4 linked regions of the Drosophila melanogaster genome follow. The gene in region 4 interacts genetically with the main gene of each other region. Each region holds a gene or a part of one and is shown on either strand. Other genes may lie near its edges. The genes, in order: tw, l(2)k09848, Sdc and Dg.

Region 1 (6,412 bases), on a different chromosome or scaffold from region 4:
TACAGTCAAATAAATGATTAATTATACGTTTACAGTGAACCTTTGAAATATATGTATAACATGGTTAATAACTATACTCATTATGTACTTTTCAGTTTATAAAAACACATTTAACAATCAAACATTTTCACTCTCTCTTTGCCATCTTAAAGCAAATATCAAATCAAAATCAGAAATGGGTAAAGTTGGCAGGAATTTCTTAGTTTTTTGATTTCATGTTTATTTTATTGGCTTGGACTCTCTTGCAGGAACCAAGTGTTCGCGAGCACTTCACCACCGGTATGCTGGACGAAAACTACATCAGAACCAACGAGCGATTCATCAACTTCATGACCCTCCAGTGCCGGACTTTGGCCAACGTCGTCTCCAAGTGGCCCGGCTACGAGCTGCTGGCAGAGAAGCTGCACCGCCACTGCGACAACATCAAGGAGAACCTCGTGACCACCGGGCGGCCGCTGCCCGGAGAGATCACTGTGCTTAATCATGGCGACCTGTGGGTAAACAACTTCATGTATAAATACGACGACGAGCAGCCCACGAAGCCCATCGATGCCATATTCGTGAGTGTCTAGACTCCATCATTTGTAATTCTGGACACTAACTGTGGGCTCTATGCAATTCCAGGTGGATTTCCAAAACAGCTTCTTCGGCAGCCCAGGCTGCGACATAAACTTCTTCCTAAACAGCAGCGTCCAGCTGGACGTGTTGATCCACCGGCGCGAGTTCCTTATCCAGACGTACTACGCTTCCCTAAGGGACAGCCTGGAGCGGATGCACTCGGCGTTTGTGCCCAGCTACGCGGATATTCAACAGGAGATCCGGGCCAGAGAACTGTACGGCTTCTTCTCGTCCTACGCCTTTCTGCCGATGGTGACCATGAAGAAGGAGGACTCGTACGACATCAGCATAGAGGCGCTGTCGGACCAGGACTTCGCCAAGAAGAAGGTCCAGCTGATGTTCTCCTCCAATCCCCGCACCACGGACACCTTGCGCTACGCCCTGCGTCGCTTCGATGACCTGGGAATATTCGATTGATGGGTAGCGCAGGACCGTGGGACACGGATCCCCAGATCCTTTAATACTTAGGCTTATCGAGAATTTTGCTACTTTTACCAATGGTTTTTTTTTTGTTTTTGTTTGTAAACAGTACGTAGAGTTAAGCGTATTCTATAAATTAATCATTATACCTACTCATAAATAATAAATAGTTGCCTATTTGGGGTTTTCATTTTCACAAAGATGCATATGAGTTATGTTCTGGAGCTTTAAAGGATTATTAAAACACTTATTGAACCACAAAATGCTTAAGGTTATATTAACTAGAACTCCCAGGTAGAAAGCCACTTGAGATTGTACATTGTAGAGTTCGGCTCGTTGGCTAGAGGACCACTCATTCCGTAAGCAAGTGGCGAGAAGGCGGCAAAACTATACACCAGGATCGAGAGAACCAGTCCGAGGATAACGTGGTGAATCCATTTGGGCAGAACCCTCAAAATGTAGTTGTACATAACGCCTGTGTGAAATTATTTAAAAACAGTTTAAAATGACAAACGGTAAAGGAATTATTAGGCACTATTAATTTGCTTTTAAACAAAGATGAAGTTTGACACAGCTTCTATCTGCTTACCCGTCAGCAAGGAGTTGAAGATCAAGGCCGGAAAATAGTGGTGGAAGTAGAGCACCCGTCCCATCGCCCAGAAGGGCAAATAGTGGAGCATCCAGCCCAGAAAAAGCCAGGCGGCCGCCCTTAAGGACTGCGCCGGGTTGGGTGCCTCCGGGGACCCACTGGGAACTGCCTTTGGGACTATCTCCTTCGCCGGAGTACAACAACTGCAGATGTCCGTGGTGGAGTGCTCACTCTCCTCGTCCTGGGCCACTGTTTCCGAATCGGGAACTTGGGCTTGATTTTGGGCCGCCGATCGGGCGAAGCCAGCTCTTCTTTGCTGAACAACTGCGTTGCACAGGAAAACCGTGACGAAAAGGGCCAGGAAAACCAGATTACTCCACCAAATCAACGGGTTTCCCAGCAAGTAGATGCGGTAACTGCTGCCGGAGAAGAACTGGCCCTAGATAGGAAAGGAAAGTGTTACTTCTTCTGACCGAATATTGTTTGTTTCTGCTATGCTCACCCTGTAGTTGATTGGCCACTGCCAGGGTCTGCTGGTGACCTCGCCTTCTTTGGGCTTGAGTCCTGCGTTTCCCTGCAGCATTACGGCGTGGGATTCGAGGAAGCGGGCAAAGAAGCCGGGCGCATACACGCTAAAGCTTACACTGGGCACTGTACGGAAATAAATTGACAGTAATTGAATATTAGCCGAAGTATTTTAGTAGTATTTACTTACTCAACTTGTGCTCGTTGTCCTCGACGTTCCACTGCGAGTTCTTGTCGCGCACGTTGGGATTGCATGACACCTCCTGCTGTTCGAACCCCCATTTCGGTAGCTGCTTCCCACTGGAGGTCAGGGCGCAGTTCTGCAGCAGGTGGATGAACTTGAGACGGGAAGTGACCGTGTGTACCGTTTCGTTGACCTTGCCGCCCACAATCAACACGCGCCAGACGTCGTTGGCATCGCCTAGTCCCAACTGAAGTTCGTCGAAGTATACCACATGAGCTTTCCCAGCCAATTAAAATGTAAAATATGTTGGTGCTCACCTCGCCATAGCCTGTGACCTGCAAATGCTTCTTGGTCATGGGTGCAGGTTCGTTGTGGGAATGCAGATTTCTCCTGGTCGCCATGTGAGTCAGGCGGACGAGGTCCCCGTGCCGGAGGATCTGTACCTTGCCCTTTGGTGGACCCGGCTTGTTGTGCGGCCTGATTAGCCACTTGTTGTTCTCGTCCTTGTGGGTGTAAGTGGTAACCTGCTGCTGCCTAGCGCCAGATCCCTTGGGATACAGGTGATGATGCGAGTGCAGGTAGCCTCCGCCCGTCTTGTGGTTCTTGATTGTCACTAGCGATCCGTAGGCGACATCTCTGGGCATGCTGGCATTATATAGGGAGTTGCCGATCAGCCTGGACTGAAAGGCCGAACTATAGAACCCATCTCCGTTGCCGCTGCGGTTAAGGACACTCAGGTGAATGTAGAAGAACAGGATGTAGAGGAGAACGGGCCAGACAATCAGGGTGATGGCCCGGCAGGCCAACTGCTTAACAGTCTCCAAAATGGGCTGCCCCAAATCGCCGAGGATGAGCCACAGTTCAGTGGCTGTATGCAGACCGACCAGCAGCACCACAAACAGACCCACGAACTTAACGCTAATCGTGCAGGACAACATGGTGCCGGTGAGGAAGAGCCAGAGCCACCAGCGTAGACCGTACGATCCTCCGGAGGCCGTGGACTTCGATACCTTGACCATGCCCCAGACGGAGGCCATCATGAAGAATAACAGAATGGGGTCCAGCAGGATGTACTGGTTCAGGGTCAAGAGCCCCACATCTGAACGTAGAAAATAGCAGGCAAATAAGAGGGTTAACTTAGCACACGTCTTTACACTAACCGAAAATAAGATAGGCAGCCGCAAGCAAGGCAGCTTCATGGGAACGGGTCAAATCGTAGACAGTATCGAATCCCATGGGCATGATCAGAGCTCCCAGTGTGGTGCAGAACTGTGGGTGAGATCAATTAACAGGACGCAGTTCACAGGTATTGTAATCACGTACATATCGCATGCCCTGGTACCGCGTCTCGTTGTACTTGTCACCTGGCTTCTCAAACGGAAACGTTCCATTGTAGCCCGTCAAGTAGCCAGAGAGGCCAATGAGCATCTATTTATTTGGAAACATTTTAAATTGGTCAGCCTAATTTGCTTGAGTATTGTATTATCAGTATCCCACCTTTCCTAGCGGTGGATGGACATCGAAAAAAAAGGTTCTGTTAATGTACCAACTGCCCATCTTGCCAAAGTGCGTCTCATCCCAACTGGAAAAAAGATAAGTAACTATTAGTCCGGCGAGTCACTTTCAAAAGTGGTTCAGTTACCATATGTGATCCGGCTCGGTGACCTTATAGAAGCGGGTGGCGAAGGTCACCAGGAAGACGGTAGCCAGGAGAAGCCACCAGTTCCTGTTTTTGGGGTTTTTGGAGGAATTTGAGGAATTTCACTAAAATTCTCTTTTGTTTTGATCTCGCTGCGCTTACCAATTGGCCTCTTTGCTAGATGTGGGTGCTGTTCTAGGTGCGTTTTGGGCCACATCTTTGACAGATCCTCGTCTGGGGCACTTGGGGGTTTTAACAACACTTGCTGCCATTATATAGTTTTGGCCGTTTAAATTGAAACACTTCTTAGAGTGGTGCACACGTCAACAACAACCAACCGATCATGCTTTCTCTTTGGTCGACCGACTCGATCTTTCTTCGTTCTTCTTTCTTGGCCAAAACCGGTCTGCAGGTCTGCAACTTGGCTTTGGCTGTGCTTTGACCAAACAAATCGGGCTTACAATATCGGGGAGCTGCTTTCGCCCTCGCTATCGATAAATCTGGGCCAAGACGGGTCTTTAACCAGTTTGTTACCAGACTTTCTGTAACATCTACAGCGAATCTGGTGGATACAGGAGGTACTAAGCAGTAGCAATGCTCTTAAAAGTATGCAATATTTTCAAAAGTGAAATAGTAAAAATATCTTTACAGATATCTACATCGCAAAAATGCTGTAAAATATATATATTTTCTGGGATTTTATGGAAAATGCATTCAGATATTACCTACATATTTGTTTTCGTGGCCAGGATAACAACACTGGCTATGCTTACTATGGCTATGCTCTTGAACGTCTGGCTTAAAGGCCTATTAGATGTTTAGGCGACTTCATCCAGGAATGGGACCCTCGTATAATAATATTTTTTTTGCCCAGAAAGACGAGAATGAAAATGACGATACAGACCAAGCCAGACCAGGCTTGGAATACCTTTCCCCCATCCACGCCCGCCTCATCTCGTCTCTGTCTTGGTTTCCGTTCCTTGCCCTTCGCTGCTCCAAATGCCCTGGCCTCCGTCCCTTCGTCTGGGAACTTGGGGCCGCATTAATCGCTTTGATCTTGGCGCACAAGAGTTAATTGCACGCTTGCTGCACAGTTGCTGTTGCTATTGTGCCGATGTTGCCGCAGTGTTTCGGCTTGTTGCCTGCCACGACGGCCGGCAATTTGTAGGATGGATTCGTTGTTCGTTGGAGCGGCATGCGGTGTGGCAGCTTCAATCAAATTAATTGTGCCTCGGTTGATACCAATTACCCGTGTTCTGACGCAGCCCAAACATCCAGAGAGCAGGGAAAGTGTCTGTGCTAAAGAATCGGGTGTTAGGGTGTCACATCCCATCTAAGTAAAAAAAACAATCTTAGTTTTTAGGTAATTTACTCATTTATAAACATGACCACCATGTTTGATAATTTTAGGTCCACCATATTTCGCTTGGTCCGAATACAGGTGGTACTTGAATGGCATACGAAAGAGTTGGAGTGTCCGCAAAATGTACAAACATATACAGGGGAAAGAATACGCAGAGCCACAGGTGGAGGTGCGGCGGAGCATAACCAGTCGGCAACCGATGGCAACCAACGTCGAGATCTGTCATTAAGCATTTTCCTTCTAATTGCCACGGCTCGGAGCGCAGACAATAGCATAACTAAATTAGCCATTTTGTTGCAATTAAGCGATCCGTCGGAATTCCTACCCACCATCCATCCCTTAGCTCATTGCAGCGACAACTTTTGCATCATTAACCCACATATAGTAAATGGGGCTTGCGAAGTGTTGAGCCTTGTGGCTGACGGAGATGCCGTGAGAACGCGCAGTGGTTATCTTGCTTATCTTGAGTTCCTAATGCATTTGGAGCCCACTTTGAACGACATTCATTTTTGATTCATATAATTTATTTACAATTCATTCTACTATGAATAAAACGTTTTACTATTTACAGGCTTAGGACTAGCTAGAGAACTACTAATAAAAACTGGAGGTGATGGGTACTTGGGGGAGCGCGATCTATAAAGCTATTAACACATTTCAGTTTCTCCTTTTCGGGCTTAAAAACTAGGCGTATGTTCGATCATGTTCTCTCACCGCGGCTCAAAGCCTTCTATGATGTATGTATATGTTATATGTACAATAGTAGAGTTCGAGATTTTTCTAGAGCCCCCCATGTGGGCTAAAAGATCCCCTAAACTCTCGATTGGTTGGGGTTGTAGACGGGCACATTGTGAAAACTAATACCAGCATATAGAGGAGTGATTCCCCCCGTGGGCAGCATGGATTTCCCACTCGTATACAAATGCTTTTTGGGCAAAGCCCCGGCCGCCTTGCTTTGATTCATCAGGGATGAGGTGGGTGTGCCGCTGGCACCCAGCCGATTTCTGTAGCTCTCGCAGGTTTTGCGCGACCACACCCACAACCCTGTCAACGTTCCGCCCACCAGCTGGAAGA
Region 2 (5,084 bases), about 10 Mb from region 4:
TAGGTAAGGAATTATCACTCCAAATTCAAAAATATGCCATCTCGCGACTCCAACTTCGATTTAATGTCTCCGTTGCTGGGCAATTTTCTGGCTTTTCGGGTCGAGTAGCTGCAATGTTCATTTAAACATTAAATTTTAAATTGAACATCTGATGGAATTAAAATTTCAACTATGTTCCTAAACTCAAAATAATGAGCATTGTTGTTTAACATATTATGAATTCAGGAGCTCTGGCTTTATTTTCTTATACTTTTAAATTTTTAAAACAAAGCCGTTGTTTATCTAGAAACGAGTGGGAAATATTATTATTATAACGCATTTATAATAATCTATATTGCATTTTTCAGGAAAACATTTAATTCTAGTTTATGAGAAATATGAGTTTATAGGCAAACATATGTATATATGTCTTCAGATACTACACACATGATATTATGTGTATCTCATATTATGTGGCCAAAACGATTTTTACAGAAGCTTACTTAAGATGAATAATACCAAACTATTGATGGCTACAATATTAATTTTTCTCCGTTGCCGTACATCTATCTAGTGTAAATAAATATTTAAACATATGTAAGATACTCCTCTAGTAGGGATAAGATACTTATACTATAAGCCCATTAAAATGCCACTAAACCACGACTCCACATAACATAAATAAAAGAAAGGGTGAACCGCAAGAGTCGTCTCTTTAAATGAGGTTGCCTCCTACATTACTGTCCCCCAAAGCCAACATTTTTGAGAATTATGTTTTTAGAAATAGGAAATAAACAACACCTTATCTTAGACTGCAGAAGCTGCAATGTTTTTACAGACCCAACACTTCATTGAAAAAATGACAGGAAGGCCACGAATCCATTTTTATGCTGGGGGTAAAACACTATAATCGCAGTCGACGTTTGTTGCTTCCATCTTTACAATATAATTTATTTTAAGTACTTGCACGCACCTCATGTTCCCTTGCTCGACAGTCAGTTCAGAATGTAATATGCAACGAAACTTTTTTAAAACAGCTCTGTGTCTACCTACGATGCCATGTTTGTTAGTTCTTTAATATAAAAACCACCGAAATCTATACTATTTTTTCTTTAATATTCTTATACGTAAATACATGTCGCTTTAACTAATCACAACTTTTTTCTTTTTGTTTTTTAAAGACTTTTCCGACGATCTTCTTTTTAGATCGGCCTTTGAAAGCTTAATATTAGACATCTCTTCCTCGGACTCATTATCGCTGTCACTGTTGGCCAAAATATAAGATTTTAGCGTATTATTAAATCACTCAATATGTAGTTAAACTTACCCCACAGTGGGCATCTGATCAAACATATCCTCGTATTCATTGTCCACAGATGTTGCGTTGACGCTCTTATTTTCACTCACGTTTCTATCCATTTGAAGGTCAGCGACCTCCTCAGGTTCTTCTGTTACTCGTGCCTCGTTTTCAAACGGTCGGATAAGAATCTTAGTGGCCTTTGATTTCACGTAGCATTGGTAGAGCAGCACTGTGGTTTCGGAATCATGGATACGAACGTATCGGTCTAGGCTTGCAGAGCTCAGAAAGCGACCGGTGGCATCTAAATGAAGGTCACTTATCCCGCCTGTGAATCCCTTGTACGTATGCACATGAGTTTTCATGCGTCGAGTGTCAAAGGCTTTTAGAGCACCCATTGTGGTACCCGTGTAAATAAAGTTTCCCTTTGCCACTAAAGTCGTAAAACTCATCCCGTGCTCCTCGCTGGCAAAACATGCAACAGGTCGACGCTGCTTACGCGTGTCATAGATGCGAACATAGCCGGTTCGCGAGCAAGTGGCCAGTACACTAGGCCCATCCACAAAGCCGATATCGCTGTCCCAAACCGGAACCTCTAGCTGCAGATAGTCGTTGGGCAAATTCTTCGAGGTGAAAATCTGCTTACCGTCGGCATTTAAATCGTAGACCTTTAGATTGTTTTGACGCTCTTTGCCGCCAGTTGCTACAATGCTTTTGACTTGGGCGCACTGGCGCAGGTGGTCCATTTGGTCACCCGTGGCGATAACCACGGGCTCGGACTCGTCGTTCGCCTCTAGCTCCAGGCTCTGTATCTCTCCGTTGCCAATGCCGGCAATAAGCTTGTCATTGTATCGGGCCAGACCAACAATTGGCGCAGCATTGAAGGATACTGTGTTCCTAGAATGTCCCTTTTCTGTGAAGGAGTGAATCTCCACGGCGTCCTTGGCCCGGCCTAGAAGGATCTCCGTCTGATCGTCGTTGCCAAAGGCCAGAGATGTGACGCGGGAATCCTTATCCAGGGCGCACAGATCACTCAGGTTGCTTTGTCCATAAGGGGTCTTCTCGGATGCAGGCACCAGGTCTAAAAAGTTGAAGTCATTATTATTATGCTGTTCGATAAAGAACAAGCGGACGTACGTTTAAAGGAGCCCGTGTGTGTTCCCACATACAGTTCGTGCTTCGCCGTGTAGTTTACATGTTTGGTATTTGCAGTAGTCCACTTCATCTCAAGACGCGGTTTCTCTCAATACTTGCGATTAAAACGTGAATTAATGGTATGCGGCTATACAAATTCGTGCGGTCAAAACAAATCCTACACGTGCAATAGAGATGTAAAAGACATATGCTTAATAATCGATGTTATCGTTTATATCGATATCTAACGGCCACCGATATTTTAATAACATTTAGGGTAGTCACTAGGCTTCAGTTTGCTGTTTACCAGTTTAAAACATTTTTTTCGTTGAAAACCACTTCTCTTGTGAGAATATAGTGATACGCATAAGACTTTATTTGATTATAACTTCTTTAAGTGCAGTTTTGTTGTCATTTTAAATGCAAGCAAATAGTATGCAAGCCACAGTGAGAATATTCCCGTGAAATTTGTAAAATTTATAGAAAATTTTAGCCCAATCGGATTTGTTTCTTGTTTTTTCGTGCGGTGGACTTAATTCTTGTTTTGCAGTGATACAAGCATGTTTTTTTGCGGGTATAAAGACCACAACGTTTTGAGAATTATTTCCAACTAAACTTTTTTTTAGAAAATTAAAGAGATATTTGAAAACAACATTTTATATGTAAATTTTATAAATTAAGTTTCAAGTGCATGTCTATACCCTATTCAGTACTGGGCAGCACATGTGCTCAGCTGTTCGTGTGTGTTCACCAACACTGTCATGTGAATTTAAAAACAAATAGCGCACATACGTAACTTAAAGCAGAAATGGCTCTCACCAAAGTTTATGATGCCGCCACAGTGTTTAAGCACATGAATGGCATTCTAAATGTGTACAAGCCATCCGGTATGAAGGTGAAACACGTGCGCAATGCTATTCTGAGCAACATTTGCAAGGGTAAGCCTAGCGCCATTTAAAGAACAAATTGAAATTAAAAACAGATCTGCAAAAGGACTCAACGAAATGGAGCAGAGGAAACCACGCAAGTTGCAAGAGAACATTAGCCTCCTGGGCACAGGCACTGCAGCAGATCACGTACTACATAACATAGGAGAGCAGACGGATCTATCCGACCACCTTCTGTCCACCGGACCGCGGTACCTTCCGCGAGACTTGATCTGCACCACAGTGTCCAGCCTGGGCGATCACACCAGCGGAGTCCTGCGTAAGTCATGTAAAACATTTTAAATCCAGATCTAACCATACTTTTGTAGTCTTTGGGATCAACAGGGGAGCAGGCCAGTCTAGTTCTATTCGGAAAAATCGACCAGTGCGGGTCTACCATCTAATCGGGCACCTAGGCATCGCAACCGAAAATAACCTACCAGACTCACGGGTCATAATGCGCTCCAATCACCGACACGTGTCCGCAGACAGGATCAGCAGTCTAGCCGCCTCCATGCAGGCATCCCATCAGCGTAAGATGTTTGAGCTCTGCGGTGTCGATTTGCAGACCCAGGAGGCCTATGAACTGGCCTGTAGGGGTCTCCTACGCCCAGCGGACGACAGTCAGCCCGTCGTCTACGGCATTAAGCTGATTCACTTCGATCGACCGCACTTCACCCTGGAACTGCACGCCATCAACGAGACGCAGGAGTACTTAGCTACGCTAGTGCACGATATGGCTTTGGACCTCCGAACCGTGGCGCACTGCTCCCAACTACGCTGCGTGCGGCATGCCCATTTTGATGTGACAGATAGTCTGCTCAGACACGCCTGGCACTTGCCAGGAATTATCAAGAACCTCCGTCAACAACGTGACATCCTGAGGGCGCATCCACAGCTTCTGCGACAACAGCGAGTGGAACTGCGAGCTACAGATTAATTTAGGAATTCATTGTAATTGAATATAGTCAAATAAATATAGGCAGATAAACTATAAAGCAGTCAATCAGGTCAATAATTCTGGTAATAATTTTTGATAAGAATATGCAGAATATCTGCTTATTTAAGTCAGCATAGTTTATTGACGGTTACAGTTCAAAATAGGTCATTTATAAAAAAAAAACGTAAGACTCTAGTTTAGTAAAAGTAAGATGTTTAAAACGTGATCTTATTAGAAGCGGTAGCCAAAAACCATACATTTCACAAATTTTTTTTGAATTAATTCTAAAAACAAGGGAGATTGCTATAGTTGATAACCTCGACCCATCGAAGGGTCAGTTGTTCCAAATTATGTAAACTAATTTCTTCGGTGCTCAATATCATTAAGAAGTGATTTTTTTCAGGAAATGTGTCATATACCAAACCTTGTGAATTTCAATGGTCACGCAGTTGGTAATTTAAAGAGAAATAGGTAAAATTTGAAAATAAGCTATATAATTATAGCTCTACAAAGACATTTAGGTTCAGTAGGAAATAGATATTTATAGCTGTTTTCCCGGTTATCTAGCGGATTTTTCCAAAGAATCAAAAATAGCGCACATGTTTTTATTTTAAAATCTTATTTTATATATATCTTATAGTTTTTATAAGCAACCCAACAAAAATGTGTATTTTGAAAAGATTCCTAGTCTCGTTTTACAATTTCTTTTGAACGGCGCTTCATTGGATTTTAACAAAGTGTGATTTGTTTTAACAGCACCTAACAGCATCCGGTGTTCAAAATGTTCACTTGTACCACTTTCGCCGAT
Region 3 (5,694 bases), 5.4 Mb from region 4:
GATGCTGGCTGAAAATGTAACACCATTATTAATAAACTATACTATATGTCAAGATAGTTTATAACCTTAATTGATTTATGAAGCTGATAATATTTTTAAACTAATGCGCTACACTTATTAGTCATTTACACAAACAAAGTAAGGTAATAGTACTTACTAAATTGGCCAATGGGACATCTATGCCGTTGGTCATTTCGGTTTCGGGTTCTCTACTGGGCGACGATTCCTCCGAGAGCTCCTCGAGGACCTGCCCGAGAACAGACGATGCGGTGACCTCCTCCGGCAATAGGGATTGCGATTCTGTGCCGGACGCAGTGATGGAGATGGATGACAATCCAACTGCTAACTCCTCTACAGTTTGTTTGGATTGCGTTGGCGGTGGAACAGCCTGATCTTGGTGCTGGTCCTCATGCTTGACCTGTTCCGGCTGTTGATCCTGTTCCTTTGGCTCCACCTGAACTTCACTCGTTTTCTCATCTTCGGGGGGCGTTGCTAGCTCCTCCGAGTGACTGCCATTGCTCACGGGCGACGGACCCGACGAGAAGGTGGAACAGGATGAGGTGGTCAGCGATTCGGAGGACGATACTATCGTCTGGCCGTTATTTTTGGACGCCTGTTCGCTGAACTTGTGGATGTCGTCTTCGTGTTCCGCCTCCGTTTGCCAGTCGTAGCTGGGTAATTGGGCATCCACCTGCAAGGACTTCACATTTTCCCTGTAGTCATCCAGGCTGTTGAAAACCTGAGAGACGCCCACAAAGGACTTTCCAGACGCCGGTGTTGGTGTTACTCCCGCAGCTCCCGATACTCCGGCGCCAGCTCCAACTCCACTGATCGATGCACTTGCTCCGTCGCCCAGAAAACGGCCAGGATTTGCACCTGCAGCTGCTGCTGCCGCTGCATTTCTACTCAGCTGCTCATCGGCGGCAATGCTCAGTTCCAGATTGTCCAAAACCTGATCAATGTCCACCAAGTCCATGGCCACCAAATCCGCAGAAACCTTAAATAAAATTGAACCAACCAGGTTTATCTGCTTGCATTTTCACAAAAACGCAAAAGAGAAAAAACAACACAAAAAGATGTGGAGAAAAAACGGTCTTGTGATTCATACCTTTTTCACACCTCGAATATAGTCATAACAAGGCAATGAGGAAAACAAGGACGTATTCGCCTTTAATAAGCAATATTAAGCACCTGCAATCACCTTATTTACTTTGTTTTCTTCTCGCTAATTTATTAACAAAAACTCGGTGACGAAAAACATTGTAAGAAACTGCCTAAAAATAGCCATGGAAACAGTGTTGCAAAGACAAAAAAAATTAAGTCAAATTAGCACCTTTCTCATTTAGTATTTTATGATGCTATCTCGTTCTATCTTTCTCTATAATCTGTTACTGTTACAATGTTAACATAAACCGTAACACCTTTTCAAATTTGAAAATAATAATAGGTAAAAGCTGTCGGGTCCTACACGAATATGAATGCTTCAATTGTTCAATATTAATGCGTATGAATTCAAACAAATCTATTAACATTGGGTCTGGGAAATTTTAGCCGCCAGTCTGTGTTTTTAAAAAAATGTTGGGTTGTACAACTGAACTAACAGTATCACAGAATAACAGTGAACGTACGAGCAACCGAAACAGTGTAAATCAGTGTAACCGCAGCTTAGCTCAAGAAAAATACTATAAGCATTTAAATATGAAATCTTGCCGATTTAAATGAATTCAAAATGTTAATTATATTTGATTGAATTATTATTTGCCTATCAAACATTTAATAATTCTATAATAATATCTTAAGCAAATCATGTAAACAAACAGTAACATAAGAATAAAACCAAAAAAATTCAAGATGTTAAAGTAACATTTTTAATCGCGAAATTGTAACAGAAATATATAAATTTTAAATGAGTACGCGTTTCGGAGTGTCTATTTAAGTCATCACCCAGCTAAGCATAAGAATTGGTATTTTTTAGGAAATGCACAGCTTGGATAATTGAGTCGTTTCTGCATCTGGTAACATTGGCCAAGTCATTCGAAAAAATTTTACGGAGCGAAGAAGGCACGGTTACGTCCGGATTTTAGCGCGATTTCGTGTCTGTTGTTTGGTCGGCACTCGAGTGTAAAGAAATTTGTACATCCCCGAAAAGAATCGCGAGTGCAATTTTGTAAATACGGAGAGGAAAAGGTGCGCAAAATAGCAAAAATAAATGCAACGAAAATAAACGCAGCAAAACAACGGGCAGAAAGATACGAAAAGAAGAGGCAGGCGAAGCAGAGGAGAAAAGAGACACATAAAGAAGCCGCCATAGCGGCGTTAGTGGGAAAGAGAGGGCGCGAGAGGAGACGGAGAGCGAATACGAATGCGTATGGTGTAGTTGTAGTGGTGGGCGGTCGTGTTTTTTTTCGTTGAAAAATCTCTGGATTCAAAGGGAAAAACAGAAAAACAAAAGGAAAATACAGTGTATTATACGAAAAATTTGTTAAATTTTATGTTTTTAAAATTATAAATTACAAAAATCGAATTCGATTAAAACACCCACACACACACCAATACACACAGTAGTTGCGCTGTTGTCTCCTCTTTATTTTTGTGTTTTTCTCTCTGCGTAAACGTTTTGTTTATTACCCCCGCTCTTCTACTTCCTTTCTTTGATTTTAGCCGCGCGCGCATACGATAAATTGTTGTTAATTTTACAGTGTGTAATGCTTAATTAATACCCTGTCTCTCCAACCAACGCTATCTCTTTTGTTTTGCAATTCGATTGATAACACATCGGGAATAGTGTGTGTCTGGAAAATAAATAATCATAATAATCATAGTTTCATGTGTGTATTTAAACAGCGTTCTTCTAGTGTGAAACCAGTTTAAAAAGCTGCAAGAAATATATATAGCTCAATATATATATTTATATATGTGTGCCGCCGCCAGTTCTAATCTTTAAATCAATAAACAAAACTGGAAGCCATTAGCTGAAATCACAACAACAGCAACCGCAGAAGAAACCAACGGGGAAAATGAAGCCAAAGCAGAAGATTTCCGTAGAGCCGCTATTGCTAGTCGCAATTCTCATCGGAGTTCTGGTAGCCGCCACCCACGCTCAAGATCAGGTAAGATCTCAAAAATTACACCCGAAACTACCAAATGTTATTAGTTTACGTTGAGATAAGCCAAAATCAATGGCCAACTTCAAGTTTACCTGGCCAACCGAAATTTAGCCGACTTTGTGATAATATTAATGTGGCTTTAATGGCCATTGAATGCTTATTCATATTAATACGTCACACAGCTTGATTAATTACGAATGGGTCATTATTAGACATTGCTATCCTTTTGTAACGACATACACATGCCCACCAGTTTGGGCACAAAGTGGAGCATTTAAGTGGCCCCTTTCAAAAGCATAGTTGCGTAAGCCCATTGCTGCTTGTAACTGCTTACCAATTAAATCGAGGCAGATTCAATCAGCAATCCGAACTCCCAATTTTCGCCACCTTGAGAGGGTTCGGAACTCCAAGTTCGGTTCGATTTCTTGTTCACTTCAGTTGTTTTTGCGGTTTGCGGTTGTCCAATGCTGTTTCTGTTGTTCTTGTTGTTCTTGTTGTTGCACTTATCATGCAAAATTCGGCAGCCCCAAGGTGGATACATGTGTCATATACCCATGTACCATGTGGCAGAGGCTTGACGGGCAACGGGCATGGGCATGGTCAATCTCCAAGGCATTGCACTGAATGCAATTTGTGGCTGCAGATAATGAAGAGGAAAGGCCTCCATGTCCCGATGAATGTAAGCCGTAAGCTTCTGGCTCCATTGCTCCACTCCTTGGCTTCTTGTAGAAAAGACATTAAAAACGTCTGCATTGCGAACGCATAAATATGGCAGTGAACTAGACGCACAGACATCGGCACTGTGCAATATATATATATAGATAGTTATACATAGATATAGATATCGATATAGAGGACGAGGCGGCTGCTGGTCAAATAAGGCTGCAAATCCGAAATGGTCATCGACTCCAACGCATCGCATCCAGCCATCCATCGATGTTGTCGACTGTTACCCATTAGCGATGAGAGATGAGTGCCGCCACAGAAACAGATATGCCGCCACGTTCATATGGGGAATGCTACTCGGAGATATAGAGATGATTCAATTTCCGACGAATTCCTTTCTATTCGTCTCTCGTGCTTTCTTTAATCACCTGCTCTGCCCAATGAGATCATTTGGTGTCTGAATGTGCTGTTTTGAAAATTGTTTACAGATTCGAAACTGGCCTCTTTGGTGTTTTCCACTCATCACACAGTATTTTTGTCATTAATTGAGTAGTTTAATTTAGATTTACCGATTGTAAACTCTGCTTTTAAAGGGTGTTAACTTAGCAAAACCGGTTAAATTAATGGGCAAGTTGTGTAAATTGCTTAAAACAATTGCCAAGTTGACATTTATGTATTAGTGAAGGCAAAAGTTGGATTTAAACTGCATAATTTCACTTAAATTCTAAAAACTAATTTGAAGACTTGAGTTGGATTACTTATCAGCTTTTCTTGTTATCTAGCGCAATTACTCACATTAAGATTTATTGGCTGATAATAAAACCAGCTAATGAATCAGGCCGCAAGCCCAAAGGGCAATATTAATGTCTCCTTCTTATCTTCACCAAGTATTTTATGTAATTTAGCACATTTATTACATTCCGTGCTTTCTTGTTAGTTAATTATCCGAAATTAGAAGTTCTATTGAGATACGGTAAAAATTTAACAGCCAGTTTTCTTCATTTTCCGCAAAGAGTTTACAGTTGCATTTTCCACAGCTCATCACTGGAAAGCACTTCTTGATTTGGGCCTGGGTTCTGGGCCAGTTTTTGATACAACTTCTGCTACTGGTCACGATGATCTTTGGCATCGTCTGTTGCCAACAAAAGCATCCGGCTATTGCCAATTTCGATGGCTGTGTTTGCCTCTTTCACTGCCTGTTTGTTTGTTTGTTTGTTCGCTTGCCTGTTGGTTTGTTTGCCTTTATTGGTGTGTGACTTATTGGCCCGAAAAATTTCTACACACACTACTTGCACATAAATAGTGCGATGGCCTTTTACCCCTTCGCAAACGCCCGCCCGCCCCTCTCACCCATCTAAAGCAGTCTGTAATCTTGTTTTTGCCGTTCCTTCCATCTTGTGTCCTGTTTTTGGTGTTTGTCACTTGTTTTTGCCAAAATTGGCATTCGTGGTTATGCCCCCCTCCTCGGCTCCTTCGTAGCTCCTTTCCCTGTCGTCGAAAACATTTTGAGAACGTGCCCGGAAAATTGATGAGCAGCACGGCGAGAGATGGCTATAACTTCACCGGAAAGAGGGTGCAAGTTTAATGGTTGTGACTGCTGCAAGTGCCACACTATCTATTTTCCGTTGCTAGCTGTTGCCTCATTTACAAAGTTGGCATAAATCCATTATCTATGGCCATATCCTAATGTCCCTTAATACGAGCGTAAAAACATTTTAATTTTTTTTTTTTAAACATTTTAATATAACAATTAGGATATAAAGGTAGTAGCATTTTTTTGAATGTAACTGTAATTAAGTGTGGAAGTTAGTAAGGGATAACACTCGGTTGCATCCTCTCACCTCAAAGGTGTGGAAACCCAATGTACCACGCCTCCTTTTGCATTGCTCCCTCCCGTTTTCCGCATCCCTACCAACTGCCT
Region 4 (5,650 bases):
TACGGGGCGCGACGGACAGGCAGGGCATCCGCCATTTTGGCCAAATGGTGGCGGCGTTGGAGTTGCAACAGTTGTTGTTGCTGCTGCTGCTGCTGCGTTGGGAGCCATGCGCGCAGTTGGCGATCAAATGAGCTCCAAGATCTGTTGCATGCATAATGATGCCGTCTGTTGTATATCTGCTCGCTGTCGCCGATGTTTCGTTAAATTGTCTATGTGTGCTTGCAGTAAGCACAGCAACAATAACAGAAAACAACAGCAACACAGGCCAATGCTAAAAACAAACATAAAACAACGCAATGCCATAAAGTTCAAGCCAACAACACACACAGCGCCACTTACTCACTCTCGCACACAAATAAATAAGCAAGCGAACACAGATACTAAGGCGTTGATGAAGACGACAGACAGCAGATACAAGAGCAACAACAACAAACAGCGATCCAGTGCCGGCTGGTTGGAGAATTGGACAGCTGCCGCCATGATAGATACGATACTCGCACTCCGGCCGGCCTGGCCAAGTATTTCTGTACTTTAACGGGCCACGGAGAAGCGCAAAGCAAAAAGAATTGGTACTAAGAAAAACAAGGCGACTGAACAACGAAGTGTTGATCCCCTTACTAACTAACTAACGAATACAAAAAATGAAATTTAACATCAGTTACAGTTTATAGAAAAGGTAAACTTTACATAAGAATGCATAACCTAACTGGTTAAAACAAACATAATTCAATGAATTCTTGTTATCTTTTGCTGGCAAATTGGTGCCTAAACTTCGGCTGTCTCTCCTTCAGCACAAGTTGTTTTCATATTATCATATTATCATAATCAAATTTCAAAGTTTATATCTATATAATCATTTAAGTATTATTCTTGCATTTAATTTGCTAAAATTAAAAACAAAAGGCTTTCAATCTATCAATCCAATTAATTGCGTGGGTGCCACAAAGAGAACTGCAAAAGTGAAAAGTTAAGTTTTGAGTCATCAAAAGCGAGAATGTAAGCCCAATGACGAGCCATCATCCAGATGCGAGGCCAAAACAGACATTCTTATAATTAGTGAAAAAAGCGGGCGAAAAAAGGGTCTGCACTTGACACGCAACCCGGGAAATGGTCGCTCACTCCCACACAAGCGCTAATAGGACAATCCCAACGCCCCCCCCCTCCACCGGGACCGCCCTCATCGTTGGGCCAGCAACAAATTGACGCAATCTGATTAAAAACGCATCAAAATAAAACTAACTGGTGGCGAAGGGAAACCGGGGAAATGGGCGAAGGGACAACAACCTATGCTAAATGCTCGTAAAAGTAATTTTGTTGGCCCACACACACAAACACACTTGCACGCAACACACACACGTGCAGAGACACTCACACAGAGACACGTAATTTAGGGGTGCTGGCGGAAGTGAAAAGGAAACATCTAGTCCTCTTAGAACAGCCGACGTCCCCTTTTTGCGTACGCAGCATCCGCAAAAGAGTGCCGAAAACTGAGTGGTAATGCCGGGGATTTTCTACAGTAGGCACTCGCGAATTGGGAAAAACGTATGATAAACCAAGCCAGTTTAAACAGTGGCAAGCATAAAGTTAGTTAAAGCCTATGCCGAAATATTATATAATATAATATGTACATAAATAGATAATATAACACATTCAATCAAAAACCAACGTTGATGAGTTAATCCGCTGAATGCTAAATATTGTGTCAATAAGCTATTGTACGTATTGTTCACACATTCTATGCGTTCTTGCGTCTGAAAATGTCGACCTATTTATTTTTATGGTAGTAATAAGTTTTTATTGCTTTGCCAACAATTGTATATTATGTACATGTGAGTTTTACGTTTTAAAGCAGAAATTGTTTACTCACATTAAAACAAATCTAGAAGAACCTGAAATGTAACTCATTTAAAAAATTTCATAAATGGTCGCAGTAAATGCAGTTTTAAACTTAACTTCATTTGGTTCCTGCGCACCAGGTTCCACTGTACTGAAACATTGGTGCCGTGTATGGCCAAAAATCACAGTGCGGGCGGAAACTGAGTGCCGTCATCAAAATACGCACACACACACACACACGTTGGAGAACACGGGGAGAGAGCAAGATAGAAAGGGGCAGACAGATGAAATCAGAAAAAGGAGAAAAGGAGGAGGAGGCAAACGGAGTGACAGCTGCCCCATTCGCATCCGGGAAAAAGTGGCCGCTAAAATCATTTGTTAAGTGCGGTGGCCATGACAACTGGACCAAAAGTCGGAGGGTCCTGCTTCTGGTCAGATTTTTCAATTTTTACATCTCCCTCTGTGCAGAACGCACACACATATGCAAGTATTTCCATCATCATCCACACCAGCAAACAAAACAAGAACAACAGCCGTGTGCAGCCTCCTGCCCCCTTTTACACGCAGAGAAATAAAGTATAGCAAGTCGAAATTTAGTCGAAATACATTTTAATGCAATTTTATTCATCCTCTTGCTTGATAAGGCTAAATAATATGCTTTTATAAAAACAGACTGCGTTCGAGACCCTCAGCGAAACTTTTTCTAACGAGAATAACTTTTCGATATCAAAATAATTTATTCATTATTTCGTCCAGTGCATCCATTTCGCTTCCGTGTTTCGAAATTCAATTTATGTATACTTTATGGAGCCGTAGCCGGCTCCCCAAGCTCCATTTCGCCCCCCCTTTTGCCCAGTGAGGCGGAGAAAATTGTAAGTTCAGGAAAATCGATTTTCTTGTTGTATTTTTTCTGCCGTTCTTCATTATTTTTTTGGCTGGCTGCAGACATGGCTAATTGGAGTTCTTTTTGTTGGCATCAGCTCGTGAACTGAATGCTGCAGTTTGCATCTTTACTCACCTCGTTGCGCTATTTTTAATGCACCGGATTCGGATTCGGATTGCCTGTTTCGGGGATTCGATTCGGGACTCTCCTGCCCCACTTCCCCACTCTTTTGGCCAAAGAAATTGCGTCCAGAGAGCGACACTCACACTCGCACGCACAAACACACGCACGTACACACGACTGCAGCAATGTTTCTCTTCAATTGCAGAGCGCTTTTTTATTCTATTTTCACGAGCTCACTCGCGATTTTACGCACTTCTTTTCGGCGACAACTATTTCGTTTGAGATAGTAATTCCGTGGAGTAATTATGCTTCACATGCTGCCTGTTTTCCGAACACTTTTCACTTTTCTTTCTTTTCTATGCAGCTGAATGGGAGCAGAAAACAAACGCAGCCCTAACGGCACCGAGTTGTGGTTGTTGTTGGCTAGGCAGTGTGACCGCAACTGAGGGTGGAAAAGAATCCGTTGCGGAAAATATACCGAAATGTATCTTGTGGATTCATTTGCAACAGCTGCGCTGCCACAACCATCGTGGGTAGCTAGAGATGGCACAATACCAATTCGATATATGTACAACCAAACATATTCATTCCATATTTAAAAAGTTTTCGGTTACTTTCAGATCCATTCAATTAAAAGCGGTTTATCTAATTTGTCCCCATATGGTGGTTTTCCATTTGACCAATATTATGACGATTTTTTAGATTAATTGTATGATTCCATCTATATGTAATGCATTTTACATGCTAACGTAAAATAGCATGCAGCTAAGTTCGAAATTTCGAACCCAATGGTCTGGCAACGCCAAAGCGGCTTACCGGCTGTTCAGGCGGTATTATTCGGACTTCATGCGGTCATACTAACTGGAAATTACTTAACATGCTGCAAGGAATGCTCCAAAGGCGAGTAAATAATGAATATACCATTTATTTTGAGTGGTATAATAACATACATTGGCATTGCAGGACCTGCCTGGCGGTTGTCAGCACCGCACAAACTCTAATCGTGCGGGATAAGCACGCTTTCAACCGGGCGGTGCTGAAACCGAAAGTACGCTGCCATTTTCCGAAACCCATGGAGGTGAAGAGAATTAATGTCCACGGCTGGAATGCTAGGATGTCGACGCCTGAGGGACGACGAGTGCTGATGAACCGGATCCTCAAAGGACGTCACAATTTGTCACACTAGCCTTGTGTTAATAAACCTAACTTTATTTACAATGTTATCCGATTGCGATTGCTACAGTAAGCTCAGTTTTAGTTTCGTTGATTCGCTGGTACTCCCAGAAAGGCTGGCGCTCGATGGTAGATCTGCTGAATACTCTTCGAAGATTTCGAATCGTCAAGGATGAACACGAAGGGCACACTGCTGGACACACCTTGGCCCTGATCCCGAAGGAAGCCCTGCGGCAGGGACTGTTCCCCGCCGAGGATAAGACAATCCACCAGGGACATCTTTTGTAGCGGCATTGCTGGCACCAGGTATAACTCCTTGCGCTCGTAGTCGATGGCGCGAACCACACCTAAAAGAATTTTGGAATTCAATTAATAAGCCACAAAAGAACGTGAATGTGTACAAACCTATTCCCAAACATTGGGGCAGACCTGCTCCGTGATGGCACAGATATACTACATTAGCCTCCATGCCTCGAATCAGTTCTTCGCGCGAGTAATTCTTGCTGGTGGGATGCAGGATTTTCAGGGATTCCAAAGACACTCCCAACGGCTGGCAGTCTGTAAGAGATTTGGCATTTCCAGTCAGGCAGGAACTGAGACGTGCCAGAAGATTGGAGTACCGCATGTCCTTGGCGCTGAGACTCCAAGTTCCTTTTTCCCTTGCAGGCACTGCACTTATCAGCTTATGGAGTGTGTATTTTGGTATTTCATTGATCTTGAACTCCTCCGCAGAGTATATAATTGGTTTTATCTGCGACAGACTGTTCCGGTCGAGGACAGAATCAAAGTTATTGATTGGAATGGGACTGGCAATCTGTACAAGATCCGTGGGACGAATGCGATCCACCAGCAGAGCCATCAATTCGATACCAAATCCCTTATTATAGCCCATCGTATTTATCAGCCAAGGAATATTTGAATACTTGGCATCGTTCTGAATGTTTTGGACTAGCTGAATAACTGCTCGGGCATACTGCTCTGCGCACAAGACAATGTTGGTGTGGCCCACGACAATGGCATGTTCCGGCTGCCTGTTGTACAGGAAGCCCGGTCCCAGAAGGGGCTCATCAATTACGGTGCAAGAAATAGTCTGGGGTACAAATATTTCCGGCTGACCAATGTCCAGGTCGATGAGCAGCATGGATGGGAATTGACCCAGATTTCGGTTGATGAGGTAACGCAATAAACTAGACTTTCCGACGCCCTTACCACCGGCTACGATTATTCGGCTCGTTGCATGCATTTGTAACTTATTCCAAACCTGCGGAACTTGGAGAGTGCGACTTTGATCGCTCGATTGAATCAGACAGTGCAACAGGGTTTCACTTTGGCCAAATGGTCGATTGGAAGAATTGACAAGTGGGAATACATTTTGCGCCATGTGCTTGCCAAAGGTATCGACGAGCTGCTGGGCACTTGTGTTTCGGTGGAGCAGTACTATTGCATTCGTCTGACGCTGAAAGCTGGTCTTAATCCTGTCTAGCTGGGCGCGTGTAAAGTTCTTGTTGAGTTCTTCCCAATTTACCTCATCTTTTACAGGTTTTTTAGTCTTGGTTGGCGAAATAGATACCCAATTAAGGCCTTTAGGAGAATAAATTGTGATTGCTTCCTGCCTGCGTGCTCTGTAACCATTTA

Evidence for each region.
Region 1: of Dg (region 4) and tw, changing one enhances a phenotype caused by changing the other (phenotypic enhancement), as found in Drosophila melanogaster (one study listed by BioGRID).
Region 2: of Dg (region 4) and l(2)k09848, changing one enhances a phenotype caused by changing the other (phenotypic enhancement), as found in Drosophila melanogaster (one study listed by BioGRID).
Region 3: of Dg (region 4) and Sdc, changing one enhances a phenotype caused by changing the other (phenotypic enhancement), as found in Drosophila melanogaster (one study listed by BioGRID).

Annotation. Positions count from the first base shown.
Region 1 is NC_004354.4:782,740-789,151, reverse strand, and holds tw (twisted), read right to left. Parts: upstream 4,407-6,412; 5' UTR 4,248-4,406; coding exon 4,138-4,247; intron 4,063-4,137; coding exon 3,979-4,062; intron 3,919-3,978; coding exon 3,834-3,918; intron 3,765-3,833; coding exon 3,660-3,764; intron 3,606-3,659; coding exon 3,497-3,605; intron 3,436-3,496; coding exon 2,654-3,435; intron 2,584-2,653; coding exon 2,343-2,583; intron 2,279-2,342; coding exon 2,130-2,278; intron 2,067-2,129; coding exon 1,628-2,066; intron 1,514-1,627; coding exon 1,320-1,513; 3' UTR 1,036-1,319; downstream 1-1,035. Other genes in the region: CG13360 (uncharacterized protein), read left to right, coding at 249-560, 625-1,035; fz3 (frizzled 3), read right to left, coding at 6,150-6,412. UniProt on the Drosophila melanogaster protein: Rt/POMT1 and tw/POMT2 function as a protein O-mannosyltransferase in association with each other to generate and maintain normal muscle development.
Region 2 is NT_033778.4:6,073,758-6,078,841, forward strand, and holds l(2)k09848 (lethal (2) k09848), read right to left. Parts: upstream 2,611-5,084; 5' UTR 2,502-2,610; coding exon 2,414-2,501; intron 2,358-2,413; coding exon 1,307-2,357; intron 1,244-1,306; coding exon 1,123-1,243; 3' UTR 714-1,122; downstream 1-713. Other genes in the region: CG7849 (uncharacterized protein), read left to right, coding at 3,219-3,348, 3,404-3,616, 3,666-4,276.
Region 3 is NT_033778.4:21,477,507-21,483,200, reverse strand, and holds the start of Sdc (syndecan), read left to right. Parts: upstream 1-2,024; 5' UTR 2,025-2,187; intron 2,188-2,822; exon of another isoform or gene 2,823-2,844; 5' UTR 2,845-3,017; coding exon 3,018-3,110; intron 3,111-5,694. Other genes in the region: Sara (smad anchor for receptor activation), read right to left, coding at 1-8, 158-976. UniProt on the Drosophila melanogaster protein: Cell surface proteoglycan that bears heparan sulfate. Required for axonal and myotube guidance, is a necessary component of slit/robo signaling and is required in the slit target cells.
Region 4 is NT_033778.4:16,095,274-16,100,923, forward strand, and holds the start of Dg (dystroglycan), read right to left. Parts: upstream 3,292-5,650; 5' UTR 2,855-3,291; intron 1-2,854. Other genes in the region: mRpL34 (mitochondrial ribosomal protein L34), read left to right, coding at 3,720-3,742, 3,806-4,028; CG8414 (uncharacterized protein), read right to left, coding at 4,097-4,362, 4,421-5,650.